4 linked regions of the Tamandua tetradactyla genome follow. The protein of the gene in region 2 interacts with the protein of the main gene of each other region in a pairwise test. Links are inferred from orthologs where the notes say so. Each region holds a gene or a part of one and is shown on either strand. Other genes may lie near its edges. The genes, in order: TRAM1, ESR1, MED25 and PNRC2.

Evidence for each region.
Region 1: the proteins of ESR1 (region 2) and TRAM1 interact in a two-hybrid assay, tested with the Homo sapiens proteins (2 studies listed by BioGRID). The link is inferred for Tamandua tetradactyla from reciprocal best matches to the Homo sapiens genes ESR1 and TRAM1.
Region 3: the proteins of ESR1 (region 2) and MED25 interact in a two-hybrid assay, tested with the Homo sapiens proteins (2 studies listed by BioGRID). The link is inferred for Tamandua tetradactyla from reciprocal best matches to the Homo sapiens genes ESR1 and MED25.
Region 4: the proteins of ESR1 (region 2) and PNRC2 interact in a two-hybrid assay, tested with the Homo sapiens proteins (2 studies listed by BioGRID and IntAct). The link is inferred for Tamandua tetradactyla from reciprocal best matches to the Homo sapiens genes ESR1 and PNRC2.

Annotation. Positions count from the first base shown.
Region 1 is NC_135332.1:114,504,272-114,512,290, reverse strand, and holds the start of TRAM1 (translocating chain-associated membrane protein 1), read left to right. Parts: upstream 1-5,017; 5' UTR 5,018-5,282; coding exon 5,283-5,405; intron 5,406-8,019. UniProt on the Homo sapiens protein: Involved in the translocation of nascent protein chains into or through the endoplasmic reticulum (ER) membrane by facilitating the proper chain positioning at the SEC61 channel.
Region 2 is NC_135328.1:143,353,770-143,361,248, forward strand, and holds the start of ESR1 (estrogen receptor), read left to right. Parts: upstream 1-4,392; 5' UTR 4,393-4,538; intron 4,539-7,479.
Region 3 is NC_135342.1:11,337,516-11,345,426, forward strand, and holds the start of MED25 (mediator of RNA polymerase II transcription subunit 25), read right to left. Parts: upstream 3,030-7,911; 5' UTR 2,643-3,029; coding exon 2,356-2,642; intron 2,261-2,355; coding exon 2,215-2,260; intron 1,951-2,214; coding exon 1,826-1,950; intron 1-1,825. UniProt on the Homo sapiens protein: Component of the Mediator complex, a coactivator involved in the regulated transcription of nearly all RNA polymerase II-dependent genes.
Region 4 is NC_135328.1:202,313,988-202,321,385, reverse strand, and holds the start of PNRC2 (proline-rich nuclear receptor coactivator 2), read left to right. Parts: upstream 1-4,339; 5' UTR 4,340-4,655; intron 4,656-5,640; 5' UTR 5,641-5,846; intron 5,847-6,175; 5' UTR 6,176-6,193; coding exon 6,194-6,601; 3' UTR 6,602-7,398. UniProt on the Homo sapiens protein: Involved in nonsense-mediated mRNA decay (NMD) by acting as a bridge between the mRNA decapping complex and the NMD machinery. May act by targeting the NMD machinery to the P-body and recruiting the decapping machinery to aberrant mRNAs.

The sequences.
Region 1 (8,019 bases), on a different chromosome or scaffold from region 2:
CTGCCTCCATGAGATGGGTCAGGCTTTTCTAGGGAACATAATCCCTTCAAACCAGCACAGCAGAGGAGAGCATGGTAAGAGATCAAGCATTCCTGTATAGACAGACTGTAGTAGGTAACACTGGTACAAGCAGAACTGGGACCTATAGAGGCAGCAAACAAGCCTGGATGGGTGGGCAGAAGCCAAATCATAATGGGATATTTGGTTGTGCTGTCTTTCAATGAAAGAAAAGGGAAACTGCTGAAGAATTTTTAGCCTGTTAGAAAAATCATTCTAGAATGAAAATTCGAAAGTGATTCGTAGTGAAGTGAAACTAGTGATATGACCAGAAAGGAAGGTAATAATAACAGTTAACCATATATAGCCCTAACTAACTATCTGCTAAGCACTTTTCTTGAATTTTCATATAAATACTAAAGTTCATGTTTAAGCAATTACCCCCATTTTATAGATGATATAGGTATGGCTTGCTCCCTCACCTCCTTCAGTTTTCAGGCAAATGCAACTTCACCGCACTTTCCCTATTTCCCTTTCCTGCTTTACTTTTCTCATGGACCCTCATTTTCAATTCAATACATTTCATTTTTTAGATCTTGCTTAAAGATTCTCTTCCCACACTAGAATGAAACCACATAAGAATAGTTTTATTTTTCCTTTTTGTTCAATTCTGTATTCCCCATACCTAGCCATGTAATAGATACTCAATAGATACTTTTTAGTATTAAAATATATGAATGAGAAAATCAAGTCTCATAGAAATTAACTGACTTCTCCATAATCGTACAGGCAGTAAGTGACAGAAATCTGATCCAAAGGCCCATGCTCTCTCCTAAGACTCAGAGTTGGAGTTCTGCAGCTCTGAAAATCAGCATTGCTACATACAACAACTGTTAAAGAAACCAAAAAAGAGATCAGGCTTTAGATATAAGATATAAGAATGAAGCCAATTTTGTTGGGAGGTAAGGTAAATCAGAATACAAAGCAAAAGATATTATTGTCTGTATTTTAGAGTTTTATCTACTATATGAGGCAAAGGAAGAGAGGTTTATTTTTCCAAAATCTAAATTTTCTGTAGCACACAACCTAACCCAACCTGCCTGGACAACTCATTTAAGCAATCCAAACACGTGGAGACCAGAATGGGAATGAGGGCTTGTACTTCTGTACAGCTTAATGTAATACCCAGATACATCCCAGAGTATACTGGGTGGATAATTAAAAAGTATTGGCAAATTTCCTTGAGGGACTAGAGAAAAAATATGGAACTATTAAACTTTCACACTGGAGAAAACCCTGATACTCTCTCAAGTATTAGGGACTCCCAAGTTAATAGGTCAGGCCTTTGATCTTGAGGCTTGCCCTTATGAAACTTATTTCTGTAGCAGATAATTTAAACGTACCTATAATTATGCCTAAGAGTTACTTCCAGAGAACCTCTTTTGTTGCTCAGATGTGGCCTCTCTGTGGTCTCTCTCTCTCTCTCTCTCTCTCTCTCTCAACCCAACTCTACAAGGAAAATCATTACCTCCCCCCGCCACATGGAACATGACATCCAGGAGTGTGAGTCTCCCTGGCAACATGGGACATGACTCCCAGGGATGAGCTTGGCCCTGGCACTGTGGTATCGCAACACCTTCCTGACCAAAAGGGAGAAAAGAAATGTAACAAAATAAGGCATCAGTGGCTAAGAGAGTTCAAGCAATGTCAAACAGTTTTCTGGAAGCTACTCGTAGACAAGCTTCAGTTAAATATTGCTAATTACCATGGTTTGCCAAACCTCAACCGACATCATTCCTGTTAACCCTAATGAACACCTAGGGCTCTATCTGAGAGTCTACAAAGTTTCATGCACTAAGTTCACTTTCCAGAAACTGCAAACTCCAAATGGTTCCTAGGCCAAATAAGTACTGAAACCCAGAAAGGCCAGCCTCTCCAAGAACACCAACTAGTTTCCTGTATTATTGTGCCCATTTGAAAATATTATGTACCTCAGAAAAGTCATGTTTTTTTTAATCTATTAAATTTATTTTAACTTTGTTTCCCCTATTATTTATTTATTTTTAATCCATATGTTTTACTCATCTGTCCATAAGGTAGATAAAAGAAGCATCAGAAACGATGTTTTCACAATCACACAGTCACATTGTGAAAGCTATATCAGTATACAATCATCTTCAAGAACCATGGCTACTGGAACACATTTTCAGGCAGTTCCCTCCAGCCTCTCCATTACACCTTAACTAAAAAGGTGATATCTATATAATGCATGAGAATAACCTCCAGGATAACTTCTCGACTCTGTTTGGAATCTCTCAGCCACAGACACTCCATTTTGTCTCATTTCTCTTTTCCCCCCTTTCAGTTGAGAAGGTTTTCTCAATCCCTTGGTGCTGAGTCTCAGCTCATTATAGGATTTCTGTCCCACATTATCAGGAAGGTCCACACCCCTGGGAGTCATGTCCCATGTAGAGATGTGGAGGGCAGTGAGTTTGCTTGTCATGTTGGCTGAGAGAGAGAGAAGCAACAGAAGAGGTTCTCTTGGGGGTGACTCTTAGGCCTAATTTTAAGTAGGTTTAGCCTATCTTTTGTGGGGTTAAGTTTCATATGAACAAACCCCAAGATTGGAGGCTGAGCCTATTGCTTTGGTTGTCCCCACTGCTTGTGAGAACATTAAGAATTCTCCACTTGGGGAAGTTGAATTTTCCGCCTCTCACCATTCCTCCAAGGGAACTTTGCAATTAAGAAATTTCATGTTTTAATCTTGGTCCAACCTTGTGGGAACAGCCATTTCTCTTAATCCTGATTCAGTACTCTAGGTTGGAAACTTTTGATTAGATGATTTCCACAGAAATGTGACACACCTAATTGTGGGTGTGACCTTTTGATTAGATGGAAATGTGATTCCACCCATTCCAAGTGGGTCTTGATTAGTTAACTGGGATCCTTTAAAAGAGGAAACATTTTGGAGAGAGTCAGAAATGACAGACACCTCAGAGCTAACAGAAACTTCACAGCAGAGCTGACACAGATGCAGACACGTGGAGAACAGAGGCATGGATGTTTGGAGATGCGTGGAACCCAGCAGACATTGCCATGATAGGTTAAGCAACCCTGAATGTGGAGAGAGCCAAAGGAAGTCCAGAGTTGAGGGTCAGCCCTGGAGAAGTAAAATGAGGAACCCCCACAGGAACAGAGGCTGCAGGCAATGGAGCCCAGGAGCACTGGACCAGCAGATGCCCCATCGGCTTTTCTTGAGTGAAGGTAACCTCTTGTTGGTTCCTTAATGTGAACACTCTCACTTTCTTAGAACTGTAAATGTGTTACTTATTAAATGCTTTATAAAAGCTGTTCCAGTTCTGCTGTATTGCATCCCGGCAGCTTGCAAGCTAATGCAATTGTTACCACCTCTTTTCAACGTGAAAAAAAAAAAAACTTAGAATGGCCATAGTTCAAATACCCTAAGCGTGGGATAGAAAGATCAGAGGTGATGGGGGAGTTATACAGAGAAGGTAGGGTTTAACAAATGAGTATGATTGCTGAATCATTAAATTGATATTTCTTTTAGTCTCTGGTGCCTTAGAGCAGCTAGAAATGAAAACCTAAAATTGTGGAATTGTAAACCATACCAAACTCTGAAATCTGTTTTACGACTAACTGTGGTGCTGTGCTTTGATTCATTGCTTTTTTTGTATATATGTTATTTTTCACAAAAAAGAAAAAAAAAGTTAATTGTAATGATAAGAAAATATTTATTCCTTCTAGCCTCTTATATTCTGAAGCAGCTAGAGGGAAAAGTCTGAGAGGATGGTACAGTAGCCCATGACAAACTCTAGGAATTGTCCTGTAACTGCTTGTTGAAAAGTGCTTTGAAAACTATTGCTTTTTTCTTACTTTGCTTTGTATATATGTTATACAATTTAAAACGTTAGAATGGGCAAAGCCCAAATACCCCTAAAGACTGGGAGAAGATTCAAAGAAGGAGGAATTATAACAGAGAATATAGGATTTAACAAAGGAGTATGACTGCTGAATCATTATATTGATTATTTCTTTTTAGTCCCTAGTGTCTTAGAGCAGCTAGAAGGAAAAAACAAATTGTGGAACTGTAACCCGTATCAAACTCTGAAATCTATTTTATAAATACTTGTCAAATTATACTTTGAAATTTATTGTTTTGTATATATATTTCACAATAAAAATGCTTAAAAATGTAAAAAATAAAATAACCCCCCATGCTTTTAAACCACTGATTTCACCAGAGTTGTAATACTGTAGGCAAGAGATGACTCCCCCGAGGGGATGGAATTGCCTGGGTTTGGTGATAGTTGGATGTGGAAGGATGCTGAAGGAAATCAATCTTGGATGACTCTGGTTTCCGCATTTGACAAAAGAGATAAAAGGCAGTATAATTCATGAGAAAAAAGAATAGAGTACTGGTTTATACACAGAGATGAAAGAGGAAGACGTCTAATTCAGTCCTTTTTTCCCATCGCCCTTGATGACTGAAGTGTTTTTAATAACAAGTACCAAGCAAGCTGAACCACCCTGGTCCTTCAGACCGTGCCCCGGCGGTGGGGTGGCAGTACGTACATGGGTGGGTAGGCTGGACCCGAATAGTAACTAGTTTTATTCTGTCTTTTTAACGCCAGACCAAGCCTAAGGACAAGTTCCCAAGAGCGTTTAAAATATTTCTGAGGTTAAAGCAGATGTTAAAACCGAAGAATGAGCCGTGCCGACGTGTAATCAGGCCACGGTCGTATTTTTAGATTATCTCAACGGTGGCAGTGGTTTTCAAAAAGTGACAGTCAACAGGAAAGAAGACTGACACCCAATCCAGCGTGGCGGGGAAGGCAGGCTTAGGGCCCCGCGCACCACCGCGAGAGGCCGCCCCCGCCCCCGGCGCGGGAGGCTCGCGCCACAAACGACTCCCAACCCCCGGCGAGCGCCGGGCAGGGGGGTCGCGGCTGGATTTCCTTCACTCCCTCAGGCGGCCTCCCGCGCCCAGGTGGCGCTGTGGGCTCGCAGCGGCAGCGGTAGCACGAGCAAGCCCTGTCGCCCTGGTGCGCATGCTCTCTCTCGCTGCGGGCTCGCCTCTTTTTTTTTTTCCGGGCGGCCCCGGCGGCTGCGTACTGGTTGTGGGATGGGAAGTGGAGCCCCAGTGAGCGGCTGCGGCGGGGCTGTGAGGAGCAGCCAGGGGGCGGCGGGGGCGGCGGCTAGGCAGTGAGGAGCTGGGTCGAGCGGAGCTGGGGCGGAGCACCTGCGGCACGGCCGGCGGCCCCACCATGGCGATTCGTAAGAAGAGCACCAAGAGCCCCCCGGTCCTGAGCCACGAATTCATCCTGCAGAATCACGCGGACATCGTCTCCTGTGTGGCGATGGTCTTCCTGCTGGGGCTGATGTTCGAGGTGAGCCCGCCACGAACCCAACCGCCCTCCCCGGGTCCCCGACCGGTCCGTTCCCGGACCGCGGGGGACGCGGGCCGGGGGTCGGCGTTGGTCCGGTCTTGCCCTGAAGTGCTGCCCTGCCCAGCCTTCGCGGCCGGGCTGGGGATGCTAACCCTCCGCCGGCCTGGGCGCCCCGGCTGGGTGGGTTGGGGGCCGCCGCGTCGCCCCCTCAGCCGACCCGCAGCCCTCCCTGCCGCCCGCGCCGCGCAGTTCCTGGTTCCCGCGAAGGACTACGTGGCAGCCAGCGAGGGGCCGGCGGACGGGCGGGGGCGGCCCCTGGGCGGTGGAGCTGGCTCTGCGCGGGTGGGCGGTGTGGAGGGGGCGACCGAGCACCGCTAGGGTGTGCGTGGGGCCGGCGAGGGGAGGGGAGAGTGAAGGCCAGGCCTCCGGGGACCGGAGGGCGCCGGCCCCGAGGCCACAGGCCCTGGGGACGTCGGGGGCCCCTGTAGGACCGAGATGGGGGCTAACGAGCAACAGACTGAGCCGCGCGCCTTCACCGATTTGAAGGGCGGTGGCGCATAGCACGGAAGGATGGCCACAGGTTTGGCACACTAAGGGCACACCCGATTGTTTTAATGCTGGTCGCTCAAACTGGTTTTATTGCCGATCAGGCGTTTCATCAGTTATCCAACCCTTTACCCTGGCACTTGCTTTTTCTTTACAGATTTAAGGTCTGAGCCATAAATCAAAGTTCTGAACAACAGTGCCAGGAGTCACATAATTTCCTTTCTGTTATTCAAGTTTGAGAGGGTGGAAATGTCAGGAGTGTGTAAATTCTCTTCCCACATATCTAGTATTTGGATAACTTTCGTAACAGCTGTTGAATATGGGAAATAAACTTTGCAAAGTGAATGTGTACATCCTAGGGATTTTTTTCCCGTCTCCCCTATACACGTGCCCATTTCTATCGTCCTAGCGCCTATCCCTCATTAAAATACTATTTAACTTCTTCCTTGTTTATCCTTTCTCAGAATAGGTTGTTTTTTTCCATTAGTCTCTGTTCGGAGCCTGAGTAGTGTCTGGGACATAGTAGATGCTTAAAATATATTTGTGGAATGAGTGAAGAATTGAAGAAAACGAATGGAATGAGACTCCAGTAACAGAAAGTAAATTTTTCGAATGAAGCCTATTTTTTTAGTGTTAATTATTAAATAATTAAATATTTTAATTTGTGGTTGCTTCTTTTCAAAGGGCTTCTCTGGATCTAGATATTTTTATTCCTGATAACTCTCCTGTATGTGTGAAACCACTGATAAGGAGGTAGCAGGTATAATGGAAGGAAAGGCAGAAGGGAGCAAACATATGTTACATGCACCTCATCTTCATTCTAGGCTGGACCTGTGCCACTTACTTACTGAGTGATCCAAGTCTGCACTTCAGTTTTTCTGCTCTACAAAGGAGGATAACATCACCTGTGCTATTCTCACATGCAGTGTTATGTTCATTGCATAGACCATATAATAGGATGTGTGAAAGCATCTGACACTTCATAAAATACTGTATGAAGGATGGCATTATTAAAAATGCAACACTGAACATTTGTATTAACCTTCTGAGCCCAAATTTGACATTTATATACACTTTCTGCTTTGGTATTCAAAGTAATACTTCTGTACATGCACTTGTATTCAACAAGTTTGTGTAATTTGTCATTACCCATCCCCACATGGTAAGAATTCCTGACTTTAAAAACATAATTTAGAAGTGTGAAATTTATTTGCAATGTTTCAAATGATTGGAATATAAATCAGAAATGACAGAAATGGCATAGCTTTACTTTTATGTAAAGTATTTCACATTCTTTTATCACATTTCTAGGGATTTTCACTGCCTATACCATATGTCCCATCTTAATGATTTTTTTTTAACAGTGAGTGGAGTTTCATCTTAATGTAAGTCTGTTGACTTAAATTTTGTAAATCTAAATTGACAAGACAGATGATATTAGTGGTGAAAGTCAGTTGAAAAAAGGCACATTAAAGTGGCATATGGAAGAGGAAAGTTTGTGCAAGTTGTACATTTTTCCTACCATTTGTTAAAGTTTTAGAATTTAAAAGCATATTTTCTACATATGGAAAAAAGTTAACTAGATTAGTTTAGCTGTTTTAACTTCTGGAATATTTGCTGCTGAATTTCAAAGTTAATATAATTATAGAGTTACAGTATTTATCTAGAATAATGCAGAAATTGTTATTTCTCAGTAGAATTGTTAAGCCTTTCGTATAAAGATGTTGAAATGTCAGAGGGTTTATAGTGAAATTGACAAAGCAGTAACATACTATATTACTAGTCAATAGGAAGCAGCAATATGTGTGTAGTATAAAATCCTGACCTCTGAAGCTAAAAGGGACCTCTGCAACTTGCTGATGGGGTGACCCACGGCATATTACTGAACTTCTCATAACCTAAGTTTTGTTATCTGTAAAATGGGGCTTATTGAGTTACTCTGAAAATGAAATTTACTAATAAATAAAGTGCCTAGTTCAGTGTTAGACTTAATAAGCAGTAGCTATCATTATTCCTTGGAAATTTACCAAAGTTGGGAAATAGAAGACAGCATTTTGTGTGAGAGAAG
Region 2 (7,479 bases):
TTCCCATAGTGTGTCCTGTGTGTAATTCTTGTGAGCTGGCTCTCTCTGATTCTGCAGGAATGTGTTCAAAGTACAGGTTCTTGAGTTGGACCACCTGAGTTTGAATCTTGGCTCCCACTATGAAGTCTTGCTAGGGATACTAAATCTTGATTTCCACCATTTTCTCTTCTATAAAATAGGCTTTGATAGTCCCTACCTGTGATGGCTAGGTTCTAGTGTCAACTTGGCCAGGTGATGGTGGTCGGTGGTCTGGTCAGGTAAGTGCTGGCCTAACTATTGCTGCAAGGATATTTCATGGCTGGTTGATAAACTGGAAGGCTGGTGTATTAAATCATCAGTCAGTTGATTGCATCTGTGGTTGATTACATCTGTGATCAACTAAGAGTGTGTCTCCAGCAAATGAGATAACTCAATCAGTTGGTTTTGATCCAATCTTTGAAGACTTTTAAGGAAGAAGAGAGAATTTTTCACTGCTTCTTCAGCCAGCAAGCCTCTCCTGTGGAGTTCATCTAGACCATTCCTCAGAGTTGCCAGCCTCACAGCCTGCCTTATTGATTTGAGGCTCTTCCATTTCCACGGTTGCATGACATACTTTTGTAAATCTTATATTTACAGGTCTGTTTTTCTGGAGAACCCTTACTAATACACTACCCCACTGGGTTGCTGTGAACATACTTAGCACCTGATACCTCATACTCAGTAGAAAATATTATCATTTTTACTTTAATTATTATAATTTTTAATTTTTTCCCACTTGAGAAAGCCCATATTAAAATGCAAATAAATGACAGTAGTCTCTTGAGAGCAATTAATCTAATTAAAATTTTATATTGTACATTTAAATTTTCCTATAAAAGGAAAACGATCTATAACCTTTAGTTCAGAACCCAATGGATGTCCTGTTATGGCAAGTGTTGCCCCATGATTTTCTTCTCTGTATTCATGTCTATAATCGATTTTTGCAGGTTGCTAAATGCCATTTGGAAAACAGAATTCATCCACTCTGAAAAATAAAATAGTTGAGAGATTTAATTCATGTACATAAAAGCATTTTGTTTTTGAAAAGTTTAAACTATCCAAATGTTTATTAAATAACTTACTTTCTACCAGAAATCATAATAAAATAATAAAAGCAAATACCCCCCAATAGTGCATTAGTATACATGACTATTCCTTTTGTTAGCACATCTTGTGGAAAGTTTATGTTTGTTAAATTAAAATTAAAACTTCTTATGTTAGCTAAAATCTTTCTTGCTGTAAGCATGCTGGGGGACATTAATCTCAGGTAAATTTGCATATTCAAATTATTGTGTGGGCTAACTCATAAGTTTAGAGAGGATTGCTTAAAGGTCCTTAAGATCATTTCTTTTTAAATGTTCTTAGGTGTTAGAGTATGTTAAACAGATAATCAGAAAGTATTGGCAAAGTCATTTGAGGGATGGGAGAAAGAATATGGAACTATTAAACCTTACCATTAGGGAATTTCCTGATACTGTGTCAAACTTTAAGGACACCCAAATCAATAGGCCATGCCCTCGATCATGAGGCTTACTCTTGTGAAGTATATGCAGATAGAATAGAAACTTAGACTACCTATAGGCAGGCCTAAGAATTACTTCTGGAGGACCTCTTTTCTTGCTCAGATGTGGCCTTAGTCACTCTAAGCCCAACTCCGCAAGTGAAATCATTGCCTTTTCCCCTACATGGGACATGACATCCAGGGTTGAAAGTCTCCCTGGCGACATGGGAGATGACCCCCAGGGTCATATGAATCCAGACCTGCCACCCTGGAATCAACAATTCCATCCTGACCAAAAGGGAGAAAAGAAGTGTAATTAATAAAGTATCAGTGGCAGGAAGAGTTCAAATAGAGTCAAGAGGCTTCTCTGGAGGTTGCTCTTATGCAAGCTTCAGGTAGACATTGCTACCTATCATAACTTGCCAACCGTCAACCAGGCCCATTCCAGCTAATCCTAAAGAACACCTAGGGCAATATGTAAGATTCCACAAGCATTCCAGGCACTGGAGTAACTTTCCAGAAACCTACAACCTCCAGATGGTTCTCTGGTCCAGATAAGTCCTGACACCTAGCCCAGCTTCTCCAGAACATCAGAACATCTCCCTATCCCATATTAGTGACAGACCCTTCCAACATCAAAAATTTAGAATTGCCATAGCCCAAACACCCCTAAAGAGAGAAATGGAAAGATCAAAGGTGATGGTGGAATTATTCAGAGAAGATAGGATTTAATAAATGAATATGAATGCTGAGTCATTAAATTGATATCTCTTTCAGTCTCCAGTATTTTAGAGCAGCTAGAAGTAGAAACCTGAAATTGTGAAATTGTAATTCATGTCAAAGTCTGAAATATGTTTTACAACTAATTGTGGTGCTGTGCTTTGAAATTTATAGCTTTTTTGTATATATGTTATTTTTCACAAAAAAAGGAAGGAAAAATGTCGATTGTGATGATAAAAAAATTTAAGCCCTCTGGCCTCCTATACTCTGGAGCAGCTAGAAGGAAAAATAGGAGAGGATCGTATTGTAGCCCATAACAAACTCTGGGATCTGTCCTGTAACTATTTGTTGAAGAGGGCTTTGAAAACTATTACTTTTTTCTTTCTTTGCTTTGTATATGTGTTATACTATACAATAAAAAAAAGTTAAAAATTTTAAAAAAAGGCCCTAAAAATGTTCTTAGGTGTTGATTATGAGAGTTTTGTTTTTCTTTTGTAACCAAGCCAGTTTCTTTTAAAAATGCAATTTTTTTGAGTGATATTCACATACCATATAATCAACGTGTATAATCAGTGGTTCACAATATCATCATATAGTACTGCATTCATCAAAAAAATCAATTTTGAACATTTGCATTACTCAAAAAAATACATATAAGAATAAAAATGAAAACAAAACAAAACAAAACACCCCAAACATCCCATACCTCTTATCTCCTCCTATTTTTATATATTTTTGGTCCTTTAATTTTTTGCTCATCTGTCCATGAATGGAGTGTCATCGCAAGGTTTTCACAATCACCCGGTCATACTGTAACAACTTTATAGTTATACAATCATCTTCAAGAATCAAGGCTACTGGAATACAGCTCAACAGTTTGAGGTGTTTATTTTACCTTTTCTAATCCACTAAAAACTAAAAAAGGCTAACTATATAATGCATAAAAATAACCTCCAGAAAGACCTGTTGACTCTATTTGAAGTCTTTCAGCCACTGAAACTTTATTTTATCTCATTTCTCTCTTCCCCTTTTTGGTCAAGAAGGCTTTCTCAATCCCATGATGCTAAGTCCCAGTTCATCTCAGGAGTCCTGTCCCACATTTCCAGGAAAATTTACACCCCTGGGAGTCATGTCCCATATAGAAAGGAGGGCAGTGAATATACTTTGCTGAGTTGGCTTCCAGAGAAAGACTAAGCCAGTTTTGAGACACACCTCACCCAACAGATGGCAAAAGATTTTCTTCCTTCACCTTCTCGTCCTACCATTCTCATGTTCGGAAGACCAAGTCTAATTGATTAGAAAAGCTAATATCTAAAAAGCAAAACTAAACAAAACAAAAACCTTAAAAATATACGCTATATAAATCAGAAGCAGATTTTCCACTTTTTTTTTCCTGCACAGGCAGGCACCGGGAATGGAACCCAGGTCTCTAGCATGGCAGGTGAGAACTCTGCCACTGAACCACCATCGCACCTCACTATTCTTTTTTTTTTTTTAGCCCATTTTCTACTTCAGACAATGTCTCAGTGTAAAAAAGAAAAAACCAAACAAGCAAAAAAACAATCAATCAACACTTAAATTGCTGTAGGAAATGCCTGAAAAGTTTAGGGTAAGATCATCTGACAGAGGGAAGGGCTTCAGAGGCACGGAAAAGCTAAACCTGTACAGGTTAGTGCAGTAAAAAACCTAATTAATCAACGACCAGGAAGGCAGAGCATGTTGAGGTATCCACGGCTAAGCAAGAAAGTTAAAGAAATGCTCACAGAATATGTGTCCTCATTTCCACTTTTAGCTGTAACTAATTTTGGATTAAGCATTTATGTGCTGAATGAATGCTGTATATATATTTTCCAACTAGACACTCCTGTTTAGACTTCAAACCTTATTATAAGTAAAGAGAAAACCGACTGGATTGCATAAAAATTTCAATCGACCAGATTGCATAAAAATTTTACAAGCAGATGAACACATCACTTATCTTTTGTTAAATATCGATCTTAAAGGAAGTGCTGCGAAAGTTCATCAGGCCTAGCTGGCTGAAACCAAGGCCACCCCCTCCTCTATTTTTTTTCAAGGAGATTTTCCAGTCCTAGTCAAATGGTGGTGCTAGTTCTTTATTTTTGAGTTGCTGCATTTCCTAATTTCATGATCATAACGGCCCCCTGTCTACTGCCTCAGAACGGATTTCTCCAAAACTGAAAATGCAGGCTCCAGGCTCAGAAGCTCCCTAACGGCTCCAAAGATTAACACTCCTTCCTCCTGTCCATTCAGTAACACGAGAAGACAGCCTTCTCTTCAAGTAGGTACTCCTCTTTCTTCTCAGTTTAATTTTTTTTTTTTTTGGTTTTTGCTATATATATGCTACTGTTTACAAGCACAGTGTAACTTTAGAGCTTACCTCTCACGTTAAAAGGCGTTCATTTTTCTCTAAATGCTCCAGGGATATTTTTCAAAGCCTTTGCAAAGCAAAACGTCCCTGTAGGCAAGTCTGACTACGGTGTTAAAACGTTAAATCTAAACTTGGTACAGTGGAAATTCACTTTTGGAATAATATTCAGCTGAGTCAGAGGGCAAGGCGAGTCCTCTCTTCAGTTCTGCGCTGATAGGCTGCCTGGCTGCCCCAGATAAAGTATGTTTATTGGACTCCTCTCACTGTAAGGTTCTCTATTGTTAGTGTGTCGGAATCTTACCAGTTCTCGATCTGATCACTGACTAGCGTGAACATACTCCCTGTTTTCTTCATCTTTGGTGCTATAACTCACACGAATTTGAATGCAGCAATCTGAACAAGCCACTATTTGTTTCCTGGAGGCAGTAAAGTTTTCTGAAGAGCTACACAATCTAGCAATACCAGGATGAGCTACCCTCTGTTTCAATGACCCTATGGTTTCAGACAAGTTATTTTGAGTCCTGCTGCCTCAGTTTTCTCTTCTGTGGAAAAGATAGGCTAGTTTTTGTTTTGTAGCAGGGTGGTGCGTGCATTAGTGGCTCCATCGCGAACGATGTGATAGTCAAAAAAGCTGGGACAAAATACTTTCATTTTGATTAGAGGAATGTCCCACGTTTCAGGAAGTATTTGTTAAGTTTTAGGTTTCACGTTTTGTCAGTAAGGTCACCAGATTTTGTTCTGTCAGACGTGCCCATAGAAGCTGACATGATTTTTTTAAAAATACTTAACGCTGGATAAAGGCCTGGGCATTATAGGACTTAGAATTGTGGCACTAATTTCTCTTCAAAGGTCCTAGATTTCTAATAGCTTTATGGGCCAGATTGAATAGACTTACAGAATAGCTCTAAGCAAAAGGTTGCTGGAAACTTCTCCTGTTTTGAATGTATATATGCATTGATGTACACAGATACATATATTAGTATTGAGAGTGAAGTTGTGTTTAAGAGGTGAAGGTATTTGAACTGAATAGAGAACTAAAAGAAATGAAGTTGGTTGGGAACTTCTGAAAATTCGAAGCCCAATTTCCACTCTAGAACATTCTTTTGTACTTCTTTAAACCAAACGTTCACCCCAATTGATAATATTATACGAAGACCATCCATTGGGCCTTAAAATGCATGGATATAAAATCCTAAGAGTTGCTGTATTTTCAAAGACATTGGGAACAATAAAGGATTTGGGTTTTGGAAACAGGCAGATTTAGAGAAGCTAGATTTTGAATATAAAGGTCAGGGTATTTCTTAGTGGGATATATTTCTTAGACACTTGGAGATATTTGTTTTGTTTCATTGCTTATGACAGGTAAGGGAGGTATAAAGCACATAGGTCATAAACCTGAAGCAGAAACAAAGTCAAACAACTTTCTTATTTCATTTAACTCTGCATCTTTCATTTAGTTTAGGATCTGGAGCTTGCTACCTCCTCCAAATCCTCACTCTAAGCCTTTATACAAAATAAATTTACAAAGTAAATTTACTTTGGGTGCCTGCGAAACATTTTTACATGGTTCTTGGTAGATATTTACCTGTATTATTTAACCTAGTTAACCAGTACAATTGCCAGAGCTGAAGGTCTGGGAGATGGAGTGTCAGTTTGCTTTGCATAGAGAAATCTCTACTCTGCGGTTACAGATTGGTTGGCAGGAAAAATAGGCAGGAAAGAGGGTGACCCAGCTCAGAGTAGGTCATCCACACTGTAAAACACTCATAGCACATTCTTTATCAATGGTAGTTGAGACAAGGTCCTGCCATTGGCCTCTCTGTCATTAGTCCCTGAGAGACACCCTTAAGGCAGTAATCTAAGGGTGGCTTTTGATGAAGTTGATGGTGATGATGGTGAGTCTGCCTTCTTGGCAATCTCTCAGTAGCCTACCCTAGGTCATTCCTTCTGGACCACAGCAGCAAAACCTTACACAACAGTGTGTTCTGTGGTTCTTTCTAAGGGATGTAAGTTTTTTATTTATCAAAGTCTGTGACTCAGAGGATGCAGAGGATTGCACTATCCATTCCTTCCCCACTCCCACTCCAAATATTTCTCTAAAAAGCTTATACTTCTGATCAGGTTTTCCACAGAAGATAACTTTTTAGTGAGGATTCCATTCATGAGTGACAACTTAGCTTCAGAGCCCAGCTGAATTGAATCCATGCCATAGGTCCCCAACATTTTTCTAGCTGTGTGATTCTGACACAGAAGTGTTTTTTCAGACAATAAGAGTAGCTACCAGGCATAATTATATGGAATAAATGAGATTAAACTACCTGTGAAATAATTCTTACAGTCTTCGATATGTGGAAGTTGCTTTTATTCCAGTTCTGGTTTAGGATGAGATATACAATAAACATGGGTTGCATGGATGAATGAGTGAAACTCATGGAAGATTTGCATTCATCTGGCAATAATGGGTAGCTGATCTAAAAAAAAAAAAAGAACAGTGAATTCAGATAACTGAGTATTCCATGGGGTTGAAATGCTGCTGCTTTTGTAATGGACATGAAGTGCTGGAACAGAAAGTATGCAAACCTCCAACAACCTTCCCTCCATTCTTCCTCTCCCTGTGATTATAAGGATAGTCATATCCCTTTGGCATGAGAAAAGCAGCAGAACAGCAAAAAGGCAAAGTTTTTGCTATGATGAGCACATTAAAAGCTTATTAGAGATGCTTCATATTCATTTTCATATCAAAGAAAGCATTCTGCTCCATTGTTCCTCAGTTTCTTAGTCAATACCCATATGAGTTGGCTGCTAACTTTGCAACCTAACTTGATGTCAATGACCCACGGCCATCTCTTCT
Region 3 (7,911 bases), on a different chromosome or scaffold from region 2:
AGTGGACCTTTAGCAAAGTCTGGGAATATTTTTGGTTGTCACATCCCAGGGGGTGGGGCTGGGCAGCTACACTACCAGTAACCAGTAGGTGAGAGACCAGGGATGCTGTCAAACTCACTACAGTGCACAGTATGCACGCCCCTTCCCCACACCCCCCACAGTAAAGACCACTCTGGCTCAAAGCATCACAAATGCTGAGGTTAAGAAACCTCATTCTATACTTACGACTAATTCTAATAACCACAACAGGGAGGCTTAGGAGTCTACTTTTCACTGCAGGCTCGACACCTGCACACACAGCCTGAAACAAAGCAGACACTCAACAAACAAGGCTGAACAACGCTAACAAGAAACAGCAGCTGGGCCACGGTGGCTGAGCAGGCAGGAATGCTTGCCTGTGATGCCAGAGGACCCGGGTTCGATTCCCGGTGCCTGTCCATGCAAAAAAAAAAAAGAAACAGCAGCTAAAACAGGGGCCATTTAATAGCCCATTAAATAGCCATTTAATACCAGACCAGATCAGAACTTGAGCTAAGCCCAGAGCAAAGATTAGCCCCTGAGCTCCTGTCAACAGCACTAAGAAATGGAATACCATGACCCCAGTCATAAAAGCACTAAGATTCACTTATAAACCAGGAAACTCAGGCACAAAATATTAGCACACACAAACATAGCACTTCACGTGGGCCAAACACTGTTTGCAAAGCAGTTCTCAACTCATTTAAAATTCTCAAAGTGCCCCTGTGATGTCGTGGTGGCTAGCCCCAAGGTGGCCTCCAATGGTCCCCACCCCTGGGAGCTCATGCCCTACTGCAGTCCCCTCCCACGCTGGACAGGACTAACTTGTGCACCAAAGAGAATGTGGCAGTAGTGATGGGTGTGACTTTTGGGGCTTAAGCCTAACAAGCCTTGTAGCTTCCTCCTTGCTCTCTCTGCTGGATTGCTCAGAGCTGGGGGAAGCCAGCTGGCATGTTAGGAGGCCATGCCAGCAGCCCCAGGCAGAGGCCTTGTGGGAAGGACCTGTGGCCTCCTGCCAATAGCCACAGAGTGTGCCAGCTTGGGAGCAGATCCTCCAGGCCCATTTGACATCCTGACCACAGTCTCAAGCAGACCCCCAGCCAGAAGCACCCAGCTAAGTCACTTCTGTTTTCTCTTTTTTGGGGGGTACATGGTCCAGGAATCGAACCTGGGTCTCCCGCATGGAAGGCGAGCATTCTACCACCGAACCATAAACACTTGTTGTTTTAAATCATTAAGTTTTAGGGTGATTTTGAACATGGTGGTAGGTAAGTAATACAATAAGTAAGTAAAACAGAGTCTAGTAATATCCTGATATCTCTTTTTAGAGATGAACTGTACAAGGTCCAGAGGAGCAGGGATTCCTGGGTCTGAGTGTTAGGTGGTGGACCCCAGGTGCCAAACTCCAATGAACTAGTACACTCTGACTTAAACCCAGGGGGATCTATGATGCCACAGGTGTGAGCTTTCTGTACTAAAGTTTCAATGTGCCTATCTGAACAAGGAGGGTTGGAGGAGACAGGAACCAGAAGAGAAAAACAGGAGGGGAGGCACAGAAGGACATGAAGTGGAATCTGGAGCTCAACCAGGACTCTCTGGCTGCAAAACCTGTCTCCATCCAAAGCAGTGACGATCTCACAAAACCCGCCACAGAGGTGCCTTATGGGACCAACACGCGATCTTTCCTCGCTGAGTCCTTTCAACTAGCCAATGGGAATGAATGGTTCCTGAAGCTCAATTCCAAGCCACGGCCAGTTCATGGCCCCTCATGGGAACCCCAACCCACCCCAGCAGGGAAGAAGCTCACTTAATGCTATCGAGCCAGGTGACAAACTCGTAGGCGCTGCTGGTGGGAGCATGGCATTGCACGTAGGACTCGGGAGCGCAGTCCACCGTGTTGAACACGACGAGGCTGTACTGGGTCCCCCCATACTGGGAGAAAAGGACAGAGGAATCTGAACTTGAGTTCCCAGCACCCTGATCCTTCAGAAAAGTTGGGTTACCGGCCGCCTCCTCCCTCAGACCCCGGAGTCCCGGCCTCCACCCCACTCCTCCCTCAGCCCCAGGTATCCGGGCCCCCAGTCTCCTCCTCCGTCAGACTCCAGAGTCCCGACCCCCAGAACCTCCTCCCTCAGACCTGGGAGTCTGGGCCCCCAGCCCCCTCTTCCCTCACACTCAAACAGTCCCGAGACTCACGTCTCCCCCGAAGTCCGTCTCAGCAGGAGGACCACCATTAAAATACCTATCAGGGCCAAAGGTCAAAAGTCGAGGTTAGCCAAAAGGCCATTTAAAACTAAAGCAGGAGGGCGGGTTTGGAGTCGCGGAAACGGCACTCACTCGATGGCCGGGAGCAGATAGTGCTTACGGAGCCCCTCGAAGTAGGGACCCAGGTTAGCCGTACCCTCGATCACAAACACGACGTCGGCCACGAGGCCCCCGGCGCGGGCCGGGCCCTCCGACCCGGGGACCATAGCCCGCGCCGCAGCCACCACAGCCACCGCCGCCACAGCGGGATGACCGGAAGTGCGCTGAACTGCGCGCGCATCCGCGCAGGGCGGCTTCGAGCCGCTGGGGATACGCCGGCGGCCATGCTTGTACAGGGCAGGCAGGGCGGTCGGTTCCATCCCCGTCCTCGTTCACAACCACCCGATGAGAGACCCAGACGGGACAGAGTGAGCCATCTCGGGAGCCTGGTGCGGGAGAGCGAATAGGGGACTGGATCATCCAGAACAAAACACAGCGACAGCGGCTCCGTCGGCCGCCATCTTTGAGCGGGGCACCGCTGTTTCCGACTCTGGTCTCCCTGGGCTGGTGAGGAGACCTAGTTGCTATGCGACGCGTACGCTGCCCTTGTGTTCAACAGGGAGATTTAAGTTTCTAGTTACATTCTCTCCAGCGGGTGCAGGATGGGTGAATGGTCCAATCAGAGCGTCCGAAATGGGCGTCGCTCGGCAACGCTTTAAGGCTGCAAACAACTTGGAAGCCAGCGAGGCTGTTTTCCCCGAAAAGAAGCCGAGCTCCTAACCCGGTGGAAGTTGCTAGGCAACACTTGCTAGTTGTTTGCTGGGAAGGGAGCCGGAAACTGGCCCCAAAACAAATACGTTCCAGGTGGATTAAAAATGTAAACAACGAAACCATAAAAATATCCGAAGGAAAAAGAAACGCGCTGTATCATTCTGAAAACCGGCCAAGATTTTCTTAGCATCATCCCGAAGACAGAAAACTTAAAATACTGGCATATTTTTGCCCACCGAAACAATGCCATGTTTGGAAGATATACAGGAAACGTCTTTGCAACATACCTGAGAATCAAAATTTACTACACAAATGAATCTTACGAATGGATAAAAAAGTAGAAAAATGGACATAGTCTTTTTTAATTTTAAATTTTTTTTTAAATGGGAAAGAGCCTGAGCAGCCTTTACACAAAGAGAAATTAAAAATGGCCAATAAAAATATGACAGCTGCCTGTCTTCATCGATTAAAAAGTGCTGACAGAAAGCCCGGTGAGATAGCGTTTTGCTTTTGTGGTGGTAATTAATATCAGAAAGGATATGGATGTTCATTGAGGTGGCAGAATTTGGGTAAAAGGAACAATTTCACAGACTGTCTGTGGGAATGTAAACGGGACGACTTGCTCCAATGCATTTTGGCGATATATGTTTCTGCCAAAAAACTGCATTCCCTTTGAAAACAGCAGAAGAATCAGCATTTTGCCACATTTACTTGATCCATCCATTTTGTCTTTGCTGAAACTTCGTAAAGCAAATCCCTGAAACCCTATCATTTTACCTCTATGTGGTTGCAGGCATTTCTAAACATGTATGGATTTTTTTTTTTGCATAACCACTTTCCAATTACACTCTTGACTAAATTAACAGCTGTTTCTCAGTATCATCTAGCACCATAATCAAATATCCCCTATTCTCTCAAAATGTCTTTTTACAATTGTTTTATTTGAGTCAGTCTCCGAACAACGGCGACTCACATATTATTTAGACATTATGACTCCTATGTTTCTTTTCATCTAGGACAGTCCACTCCTTTTTTATGCTAGCATGATTGAATTTCTAGCAAGTTTTTAAAAGGAAATAAAAGTAACATTGAGAAAGGAAAAATGATCAACAGGTAAGACAAGTATTTAAATGTTACCTGAAATTAAAATCTGCCCTGTTAACTTCATAAGGCAACTTTTCTTTAGATAGGTTAAATGCTTGATTGGTTGACATAATTGAGTTTTAAGCCTTTCTATATGTGTATTAAGAATGGTAAAATTAATGATTAAGTATTTTAGACTAGACTTCTGGAATTATGATGGACTAGGCGGACGAAACTGTTTTTAAGATATTGGTCGTTTCATAAGAGGAAGGAGTATTCTTCCAGGATCCTCTCCCCAAAGAAGGGAGGGAGGGAGGGAGAGGGAGGGAGAGAGAGAACTAGAAATTAATAAACAAAAAGGCAGGGGTGTTGTGTGTTGGTTTTTTGGGCAAAACTGCCTGCACCGATGTCTCCAGGAACTGAGGACAGTTTGAATCCGACAACTGAGTCTGGTTGTCTAGTTAAACCAGGACCTTCCAGGGCAGGCCGCTACAGCAGCTCCATGTGGGATGCATTCCTGATGACTCACAGAAACAGGAGTAAATCCTACACAGAGGACTCAGATCACGATCAAGTAACAAGTTCACAAAGATCCCCAGCCAGAGGTGAGAAATATAAGCAAGAGTCCACAGAAGCCACACTCAGTAGATGTAGACCCCAAGGGCCCCACATGCTGGGATGGCCCAGTTCATAACATACCATAAAGTTCCAAATAGTGAAAGAAATAAAGGGCACTAACTTATCGCATGCCATGTAACAAACTATGTCCAAACATTGTGATTTCAAACCTCATTTACTATCTCACAGTTTCCCTTGGTCAGGAATCCCTACACAGTTTACCTGGGTGCTCTGCTTCCAGGTATCTTACAGGCTGGAATAAAAGTGTCAGCTGGTGCTGCAGTCATCTCAAGGTTGAACCAGGGAAGGATCTGCTTCCATGCTCACTCACGTAACTATTGGCAGGATTCAGTTCTTCAAGGGCTGTTGGACAGGGGTTACCCTCAGTTCTTCACCATGCAAACCTTTCATTGCAAAATCCATAACAGAGCAACTTGCTTTATCAAAGCAAGCAAAAGGGCAAAAGAAAATGTCAGGAAGAGAGAAAGTGGAAGCAAGACATAAGCCATGGTCTTTATAGACTCTCCTTACCTTTGCAATACTCGGTTAGAAGCAAGTCATAGGTCCCCTTGCATGCCAAAGGGAGAGAATAACACAAGAGAGTGAATATGTAGAGAGACATTTTGGAAGCAGCCTACACTAGACCCAATCACAAAAATCAACGAGCACAAAGGAAATATCAAGAATAGGTGAAGTTGGTTCTGTGAGAAAATCAATAAGATTGGTAGACCCTTAGAGAGGTTGACAAAAAGAAGAGAGAAGATGCAAATAAATAAAATCAGAAATGGAAGAGGAGACATAACCACTGACCCTGTAGAAATAAAGGAAGTAATGAGAGGATACAATGAACAACTTTATGCTAATAAACTCAACAATGTAGATGAAATGGACAACTTCCTAGAAAGACATGAACAACCAACATTGGCTTGAGAATAGACAAGCTCAACAAACCGATCACAAAGAAATTGAATCAGTCATTAAGAAGCTCCCCCAAAAGAAAAGTCCAGGATCAGTTGGCTTCACATGTGAATTCTACCAAACATTCAAAAAAGAATTAGTACCAATTCTGCTCAACCTCTTCAAAAAAATTGAAGAGGAGGGAAAGCTACCTAACTCATTCTACCAAGCCAACATCACCCTCATAACAAAGCCAGACAAAGATATTACAAAAAAAGAAAACTACAGACCAATCTTATGAATATAGATGCAAAAAATCCTCAACAAAATTCTTGCAAATCAAATCCGGCAGCATATTAAAAGAACTGTACACCATGACCAAGTAGGATTCATCCCAGGTATGCAAGGATGGTTCAGCATAAGAAAATCGGTTAATGTAATACACCATATCAACAAATCAAAACAGAAAAACCACATGATCATCTCGATTGATGCAGAAAAGGCATTTGACAAACTTCAACATCCTTTCCTGTTGAAAACGCTTCAAAGGATAGAATTAGAAGGGAACTTCAACATGATAAAGGGAATATATGAAAAACCCACAGCTAACATCATCCTCAATGGGGAAAAATGGAAAACTTTCCCCTAAGATCAGGAACAAGACAAGGATGTCCACTATCACCATTGTATTCAACGTTGTGTTGGAAGTTCTAGCCAGAGAAATTACACAAGAAAAAGAAATACAAGGCATCAAAACTGGAAAGGATAAAGTAAAACTCTCACTGTTTGCAGATGATATGATACTATATGTCAAAAACCCCCAAAAATCCACAGCAAAACTACTAGAGCTAATAAATGAGTACAGCAAAGGGGCAGGTTACAAGATCAACACTCAAAAATCTGTAGTGTTTCTATACACTAGTAATGAACAATCTGAGGGGGAACTCAAGAAATGAATTCCATCTACAATTGCAACCAAAAGAATGAAATATTTAGGAATAAAATTAACTAAAGAGACAGAAGACCTATACAAAGAAAACTACAAGACATTGTTAAAAGAAATCACAGAAGACCTAAATAGATGGAAGTGCATACTGTGTTCATGGATTGGAAGACTAAATTTGGTTAAGATGTCAACTCTACCTAAATTGATTTACAGATTCAATGCAATACCAATTAAAATCCCAAAAACTTACTTTTCAGAAATAGGAAAACCAATAACCAAATTTATGTGGAAGGGCTGGGTGCCCCAAATAGCTAAAAGTATCCTGAGAAAGAAAAATGAAGTTGGAGGTCTCACACTACCTGACTTTAAGGCGTATTGTAAGAATTCGAGAGTTTTGCCACGCAAAGGACTCCAAGAGACGTTCTCTCATGCAACACGCAAGGGGTTTATTTACCACACATGCGTGGGGCTCACTGAACATGCAGGAACAGAGAGCCCCGAGCCTGGATTTGGGGAAGCTTTTAAGGGGTAGGAGGAGGGGGGTGAGGGTCGAGCATGGGTCACAGGTGCTGCTTCATGCAAGAAGCAGATAACAGACATTTTGCAAGAAGCAGATAACAAACATTTTGCAAGAAGCAGATAACAAACATTTTTCACGCATGAGTCATGGGAGCTGCTTCATGCAAGAAGCAGCTGTCTCGTTGTGCAAAACTCCCTTACTCAACCTTCTCAGTTGCATTCTTAGATAAACTTCCTCCGGCAGTTACAACCTTGCATAACCAAGGCAGCAGATAACCTTGCATAACCAAGGCAGCAGATAACCGCCCCTGGGAAGTTCCGGGTTGTTTTTCTTAACCTGATGGGGCCCATAACTCTTTTCTTTACAATTCTTAACTCACACCAAATGCATAGCAGTGAATATAAAATGACACAAATGCTTTTGCTGGATATTTCTACCATTCAGAAGCTAAAATATATGTAAATAGCTAAATTAAGCAAGAAAAATTAGCTACTGTTAAGCTTTATAAAATCCTTCTTTACATTCCCCACTCCTTTTTGTACATATCTCTAATCTTAGAGATTTTCTGGGTTATTTAATACTGAGTACTCTTGTCTGATGAGCATTAATTTGACATTTCCAATCTGCCTTTGTAAAAACTGTATAATTCTATTTAGAATATATGGTCCTATAGTTATTATTAAAAGTAACACAATTAAAGGCCCAGCAAGAGCAGATAATAGCGTTGTCAACCAGGGGGACTTAGTAAACCAAGATTCAAACCACCCCTGTTGCGCCTCTCGTTCTTTTTGTCTTTCACGAAGGCGCTCTCTGA
Region 4 (7,398 bases), about 59 Mb from region 2:
ACGCTGGAGAGAAATGAGCCAGTCTGAAAGCTTGTCAGCCCTGGGTGATTGCCCCCAAAAGCCCAGGTACTCATGGGGTCTAAAATACAATAAGCATCAGCATATATATAACTTGTCCATCCTTCAAAGTCAAGTTTCAGAAATACTTTCTTTTTGCCTGCCCCCACCCCCACCCCCACTCCCACTCCTATTTACAGGCTGGGTAGGTAATGTTTACTTAAAAGTTTTGACAGATTTTATTGATCATGGCTCCTCACCCACTGATACTTAATTTAAAACAGATTCTTCCATGGTAAAAAATTTCAGCAAATGTGGGAATCTTCTCTTTCTCCCCTCCATTCTGCAGGGTTCCGTTTCATTATAACTTGTACCTTACTAAGTGGTGGGTGTTGGGGATTCTTAGTATATGGATTTTTATGCCCACAATTGGCATTGCCTGTTTTCAGTCTCAGGGGAACTGAGGGAATGAATCTCCCCATCATACTAGCTTCCTTCTATGATAAATACTAAAGGAAACATTTTTTTAAGTTCCTTTAGGACCCTGATGGAGCCTTGTTTGTGTCCCCAAGGCTTGGGAAAGTGCCTGGCACAAAATAGGCACCACATAACTCTTTGTTAAATACATACTTTATATTAAGTACTCATGTATTTATTATGCATTTATCTCCCCATGTTGGTGGCTGATCAGCATCCTGACAGCTGTTTGTTTGCATCAACATTTTCCTATTTGAACCACGAACCATGAATTGGATCCTGTTAGTGCAACTACCTTTAAAGATTGGCCTGGTTAAAAAGTTGAAAAAGTAATGAGACTTTGACTAGAGATATGGATGAAGCTGATCTGGTTAGGACTAAGGTAAATCAGAATACAGGGTAAAGGGTGATATGGTCCATATTTAAGACTTCAACTTCTGTGCGAGACCAAAGGGAGAGATGTTTATTTGATGCAAAATTTATATTTTGGGTAGTGTATTACCTAATTCAATTTGTATGGACAGTTTACTTGAACACCATAAGTACAGGGAATCTTGAATAGGGTGTGAGATTTTGTCGGTTTGTCCAGGTTAGTGTGATACCCTGATATATCCCAGAGTAATTTGGGCAATGAATAAAAAAGTATTTGCAAAGTCCCCTTGGGGGATTGGGGAGAAAGGATGAAATATTCAACTTTCCCATTTGGAGAATTCCTGATATTCTTGCAAGCAGGGAGGACAACCAATCAATAGACCAAGCCCTCAATCAACAAATGCGGGAATCTTCTCTTTCACCCCTATAAAACTTATTCTTGCAAAGTATAAGCTAAGCCTGCTTATAATTATGCCTAAGAGTCACCCCCAGAGAACCACTTTTGTTGCTCAGATGTGGCCTCTCTCTCTAAGCCACCTTGGCAGGTGAACTCACTGCCCTCCCCCCTATGTGGGACATGACTCCGAGGGGTGTAAATCTCCTTGGCAATGTGGGACAGAATTCCTGGGATGAGCCGGGATTGAAAAAGCCTTCTTGACCAAAAGGGGGAAGAGAGAAATGAGACAAAGTTTCAGAGGCTGAGAGATTTCATACAGAGTTGTGAAGTTGTCCTGGAGGTTATTCTTACACATTATATAGACATCCCTTTTTAGTTAGTAGTGTGTTGGGGTGGCTAGAGGGAAGTACCTGAAACTGTTGCGCTGTGTTCCAGTAGCCTTGATTCTTGAAGATAATTGTATAATGATATAGATTTTATAACGTGTGTGATTATGAAAACCTTGTGTCTGATGCTCCTTTTCTCCAGGGTATGGACAAATGAGTTAAAAAAATATATATATGGATAATAAATAAATAATAGGGGGGTTAAAGGGTAAAATAAATTGGATAGATTGAAATACTAGTGGTCAATGAGAGGGAGGGGTAAGGGGTATGGGATATATGTTTTACTTTTTTTCTGGAGCGAGACAAATGTTCTAAAAATGATCGTGGTGATGAATACACAACTATGTGATAATATTGTGAGCCACTGATTGTACACCATGTATGGACAGTATGTACGTGAGATTTCTCAATTAAAAAAAAAATAAAAAAAAGACCAGCCTGCGACAAGCAGAGGCTCTATCAGATGTTCTGAAGAGGGTTTTACTTGAACTGCTGTTCTCCAGTACTGGGCTATTGGGGGTTCTTGCGAAAGATTAATGAATGATGAGGCTGGTGCTATGCTTAGCAGGTGCTCACAGTCTGGGAGTCAGTAAGGGCTTTGGAAGCGTTCTCCCCAGGGCAGCCTGACTCGGCTCTTTTGGCAGAGAACTTGGTCCAACCCGGCTGCAGGGTGGGGCCCTGATACTGCCCTAGCAGCCCGGGCAACCCCGTCAACGTTCAGTCAGTGCCTGGTCTGGACAAAGCCCGGCTGAGCTACAGGAGAACAAAGATGCTGTAGGGAACATGGAAGCTGGACTCTGGAGTCTTGGGGTGTGGCTCCCAGCTTTAAACTGTCTGAGCATCAGATTCTTTTTCTGAACAGTGGAGATCAAAATAGTACTCACCCCAAATGGTTTTTGTGAGAATTAAATGAGATATAAGCAAAACCATATAGGGCAGGGCTTAGGGCAGAGTAAGTATTCAAAATGTCTGGTTATACAGATAAGATTCAGAGGTCTACTGAAGAAATGAAAGACGAATTTCAGATGGTGATGGCTTTGAATAATTTTCTAAATGTTTGGAGTTTAGACTTTATTCTAGAATACAGAACATTTGAAACAAACTGGAATGAATTTTAAATTGTTAACACATTCAGCTGGATGGAGGGGTAGGGAGAAACCAGAAGGGGTGTGAGTATAGAGGGAGTAAATTTGAAAGACATATTTTGATGTTGATAAAAAAGGAATTAGGAAAAAATGTGCAGACTGAAACAGACTATTTTACAAGGCATTATATTAAAATATATATTCTAAGGGCATTTCCTGAGATCAAAGTCTTGAACCCATTAAACACGCCATTGCTATTATCTGGCTGGATATCTAAATAAGATTCCAGAATTTCTGAGAAATACATTACAGTGAGCTAGCAGCTGATTTGCCATGTACACCTTATTTGACTATAATATAATTAGAGCCAGAAAGTCCCCCTACCCCAAAATAACTGTTCATTTGATTAATGAATTCCTCTTTAAGGTACAGTAACTCTTCTTAAGATCCACAGCTAGAACACGGGGTTTTGTGTTGGGTTGGTGGATAAGAGGTGATAGTAGCAAAAAAATTAAAGATTAAAACACAAATTACGTGGGATTTATAAAAGGTCAGTATATATAAATTATGTAACAAAAAAGTTCACAGATGTATGAACTGCGAGTGTAAAGGTAAGGATTTTGGACCATTTATCCCAGAATTATTCATACAAATAGAAGTTAGGGTCCTCTTTTAAAACAGTTTGGGTTGCTTATACATTTACTCCAAAGAAGTTGTCCTTTCCCCTTCCCTGCACCTCACTGTTACGTTCAGCTGAGTGACATATCTTCTGATCTCTTTTTCAAGTAAAAACGGGACAGAAGGGGAAATAAGGGAGGTCACGTTTTCTCAGCAAACCTTTATAGTGCATTTACAGTGAGCGGGGACACTGTGCTAAAACACACACACACACACACAAAACAAAAAACAAAAACTTGGGTTTGCTCCTCGAAGGGTATATGCAGATGTGTTGGGGGGTCGGGGAGCCAGGTGGATACACACCGTTGCAAGAACAATAAGGTGCGATAAAAAGGTAAGGAACAGTGGGGACACAAAGAAGGGACTGATAACCTTGTGTGCATGAGTCAAACGCCTTCACAGTGGAGGTAACTTGGGGGTAACTGCGAGCAGAGGGAACCGCGTGCTCTGGGACTGGCAAAGAAGCTCCCAGAACCGAGGGAAAGGACGAAGACAAGTGTCCCGAGCAAAGGCCGGACACGCGGACTGGGGCTCGGTCATGGAAAACTTTTTTTGTATGTTTTCCATATATAAAAAAATAGGTTACATGGCTGAGTGCACTTAACTAGGGAACCAACTAACCATCCCTCAGTCACTCCTCATGGGGGTTAGTGGAAAAACAGGCGCGCCGAATGGTCAGGGCGGCGGCGCCCGCGAGGGAAGCAGACGCTGAGGGGCCTCTCCAGGCGCGAGCGCCCACCGAGGGCAAAGCGCGGCCCTTGGGCTGCGCCCGGCGTCCGGACGGCGGCGTCGAGGCCTCAGAAAGGCGCCGCGAGAACCCGGCGGTCGTACCCCGGGCTGCGGGCAAGGCAGCGAGCAGCCGGCGGGAAGGGAAGCGGCAACCGCTACGGTAGGGAGCAGTTATTCCCGACATGCTCCTCTCGGGAAAGATTTCAAACCCTCGGCAACAACCACCTCTCCTCCCTCATTCCAGTCCTGCCCCAGCAACAGGCGGCTGCCCGCTCCTCATTGGCTCAACCCCACACCCTCGAGTCTCGATTGGCCGCGAAGCCTCCCGCCCCTCTCTTGCGCCTGCCTGGGTATCCATTTTGTCGGTAGAGGCAGAAAGGGGTGGTCTGGTCGTCCGACACTGTGGTATTCAGCAGGTAGTTGGTCGGTGCTGTCGGGCTTTGCTCGTTCCTTGCCTCGTCTCTCCCTGGAAGGGGAGTGAGGCTTCATCACCTAATAGGATCCGCTGCTGTCGCAGTCTTGAGCTTGAAGTCGGTGAGTAGTGGTGTCGCCGCGGGTGCGGCCATGTTGGTGCCTGCGCTCCCCATTGTTGGGACAAGGAGGCGAGTAGAGAGACGCTTGGAACCCGGGCGGCCGGGAGGGACGCGGCCCGTGGGTTGGGGCTCGAGAAAGGTGGAGCTACTTGGAAGCCAAGCTCCGCATCGAAAGACCCGAGTTTTCCGGGTTCGACTTGTAAATGCCGCAGTGTCTGGGAATCGTAGTTTATTATAGAGTTATAAAAAATGCCTGGAAGGCTGTCTTAACTCTTGAAAAGAAAGGGACTTCTTATTTGTTGGTTAATTTGGTTTCATGGTATATTAAATGAAAAAATGAAACCTGCAATGTTAAATGGTCCCAGTAGGGAGGTATATTTACGTTTTTGAAGATTGAAAACCGTTTTAGATTGTTTTGCTTTTGAATACTTATTTTAAAAGCAGTGGGAGTCTAGTGTGTTCATAAGCAAAGGAAACACTGATGTAGACATGTTGAAAGAGGTTTTGTGTAAAATTCGGATTTGTGGATAAGCTTGTTTTTCTTAGGGGAGGTAATAAAGGGTATGCATTTATGTTGAGTGTTGAAAGACTGGAGAATTCTGGTGGGCTTTAACATCTTACTCACTTTGGGAAGTTAACATTAAGCCAATTTCTTGGTAGGAGTGTTAAGGCTAACACTTTCCAACTTTGACTTGAACGTTTCCGGTCACAAAATCCTTGTGAGAATCTTAAAAGGCACTTCCCAGGGAAAAAGATACACAAACAGAACTTAACTGCTTGACTTACAGACACTCTTTTAAGAATTCTCCAGGGGGGTCCTAGATCTCGAAGAGAAGAGTTCATGATAGTAGTTACAAAATCAAAGAAAGCCATTTTAGGGGAACATATTTTCTACTTCTAAGGAAATAGGCCATCCTTTACAATTATTTCTGTAATATAAATGACCACTTTTTCCTACTGAATTTAAGTAATCTTTGCTTTTCTAGCTAAGACTTCTCTCAAACTTGTGTGCTGAGGAAACTCAGATGTTGGCCTCAGCTCCTAGGCTGAACTCAGCAGATCGGCCCATGAAAACTTCTGTATTCAAACAAAGGAAAGGATCTGTCAGAAGGCAACACCTGTTATCCTGGGCTTGGCAGCAAGGAAGGGGACTGGTAGTGGAAATCCTGCAATCTGAAAAGCAGACTGAAAGGTACAAAAATTAGAGAATTATATTGGGCAGACATTTTAGCTGAACTCAAATCCTAAACCAATTGCTTTCATTTTAAAATAGAGGGTTATTCGGATTTGTGGATAAGCTTATTTTTCTTAGGGGAGGTAATAAAGGGTATGCATTTAATGAATTCTGAATACCCTCCTTTAACTTGAGTTAAAGCAGCTAATAATTTAGGCCCCCAAGACTTCAGAATTACAAATTGGGGCTATAGCAGCTTTCCCCCCCCCCTTTTTAAAATAAAAATAAAAAACAACTGTGAACTTAATGGAATTTTACTCAGTATTTTGTTTTCCATTAATTTGCAGGTGACAAAGAACCTGAAGATGGGTGGTGGAGAGAGGTATAATATTCCAGTTCCCCAATCTAGAAATGTTAGTAAGAACCAACAACAACATAATAGACAGAAGACCAAGGACCAGAATTCCCAGATGAAGATTGTTCATAAGAAAAAAGAAAGAGGACATAGTTATAACTCATCAGCAGCTGCATGGCAGGCCATGCAAAATGGGGGGAAGAACAAAGTACATTTTCCAAATAATCAGAATTGGAATTCCAGCTTACTTTTTAAATCTCAAACTAGTCAGAACTATGCTGGAGCCAAATTTAGTGAGCCACCATCACCAAGTGTTCTTCCTAAACCACCAAGCCACTGGGTTCCTGTTTCCTTTAATCCTTCTGATAAGGAAATAATGACATTTCAACTTAAAACCTTACTTAAAGTGCAGGTATAAAATACTAATGTTTAAATTTAGGCATCACATTTAAGACTAGTCAGTTGGTCTGAAACATTCATCTATTTTATATTTGTGTAAAACCGCTAATGTAGAAAATATGAATAGATTTTATCTCACTTGTTTTGTGTGTTGTGGGCACTATGAGGTAATGGTACTATCAGTGCAACTTAAAATAATTTGTTGATTGCACTTGACGTTCTTAATTGATAAAGAAGTGAAACCATGTATGTTTAGATTTAGAAAACAACAAAGGAATCTTTTTCGGATGCTTTTTTTGGGAATTATCATACATGGAATAGATTTACTTGTTGAAAGCTAGTCAATCAGATTCCAGACATCTAGCTAAGATCATACAGAGATCAAGAACTAGTGAAATACTTGAAAGTTTAATGTCCTACAAACACCTGAACAAGTACCAACAACTTGATGCACTGCCAAGAGAAAATGTGAATTTTCCTTAATGAGTAGTGAAGTACATTGTAGTAAATTTTACAGTGGTTCATGTGGAAAGGGCACTTGGGGGCTTACTAGAATGAGGTGCACTACGCCCCAATGGCCCTGTTCTCACATACAGTGAATAGGTGTCTGCCAGTAAATGCTCCCAAACCATTTTTCATAGAAACAGTATTTGGTGGTCACTGAGTAGCTTTCAAAATACATTTTCTGTATTCTGTACAAACTTGACAGTGAGTGATCTGGCCTCAAATCATCCTTGTAGAGGTTGGCGCTAAGTGGGGAATTGTATAATGTGAGTTTTATGTATCTAGGGAAGAGCCATGTAAATACATATAATA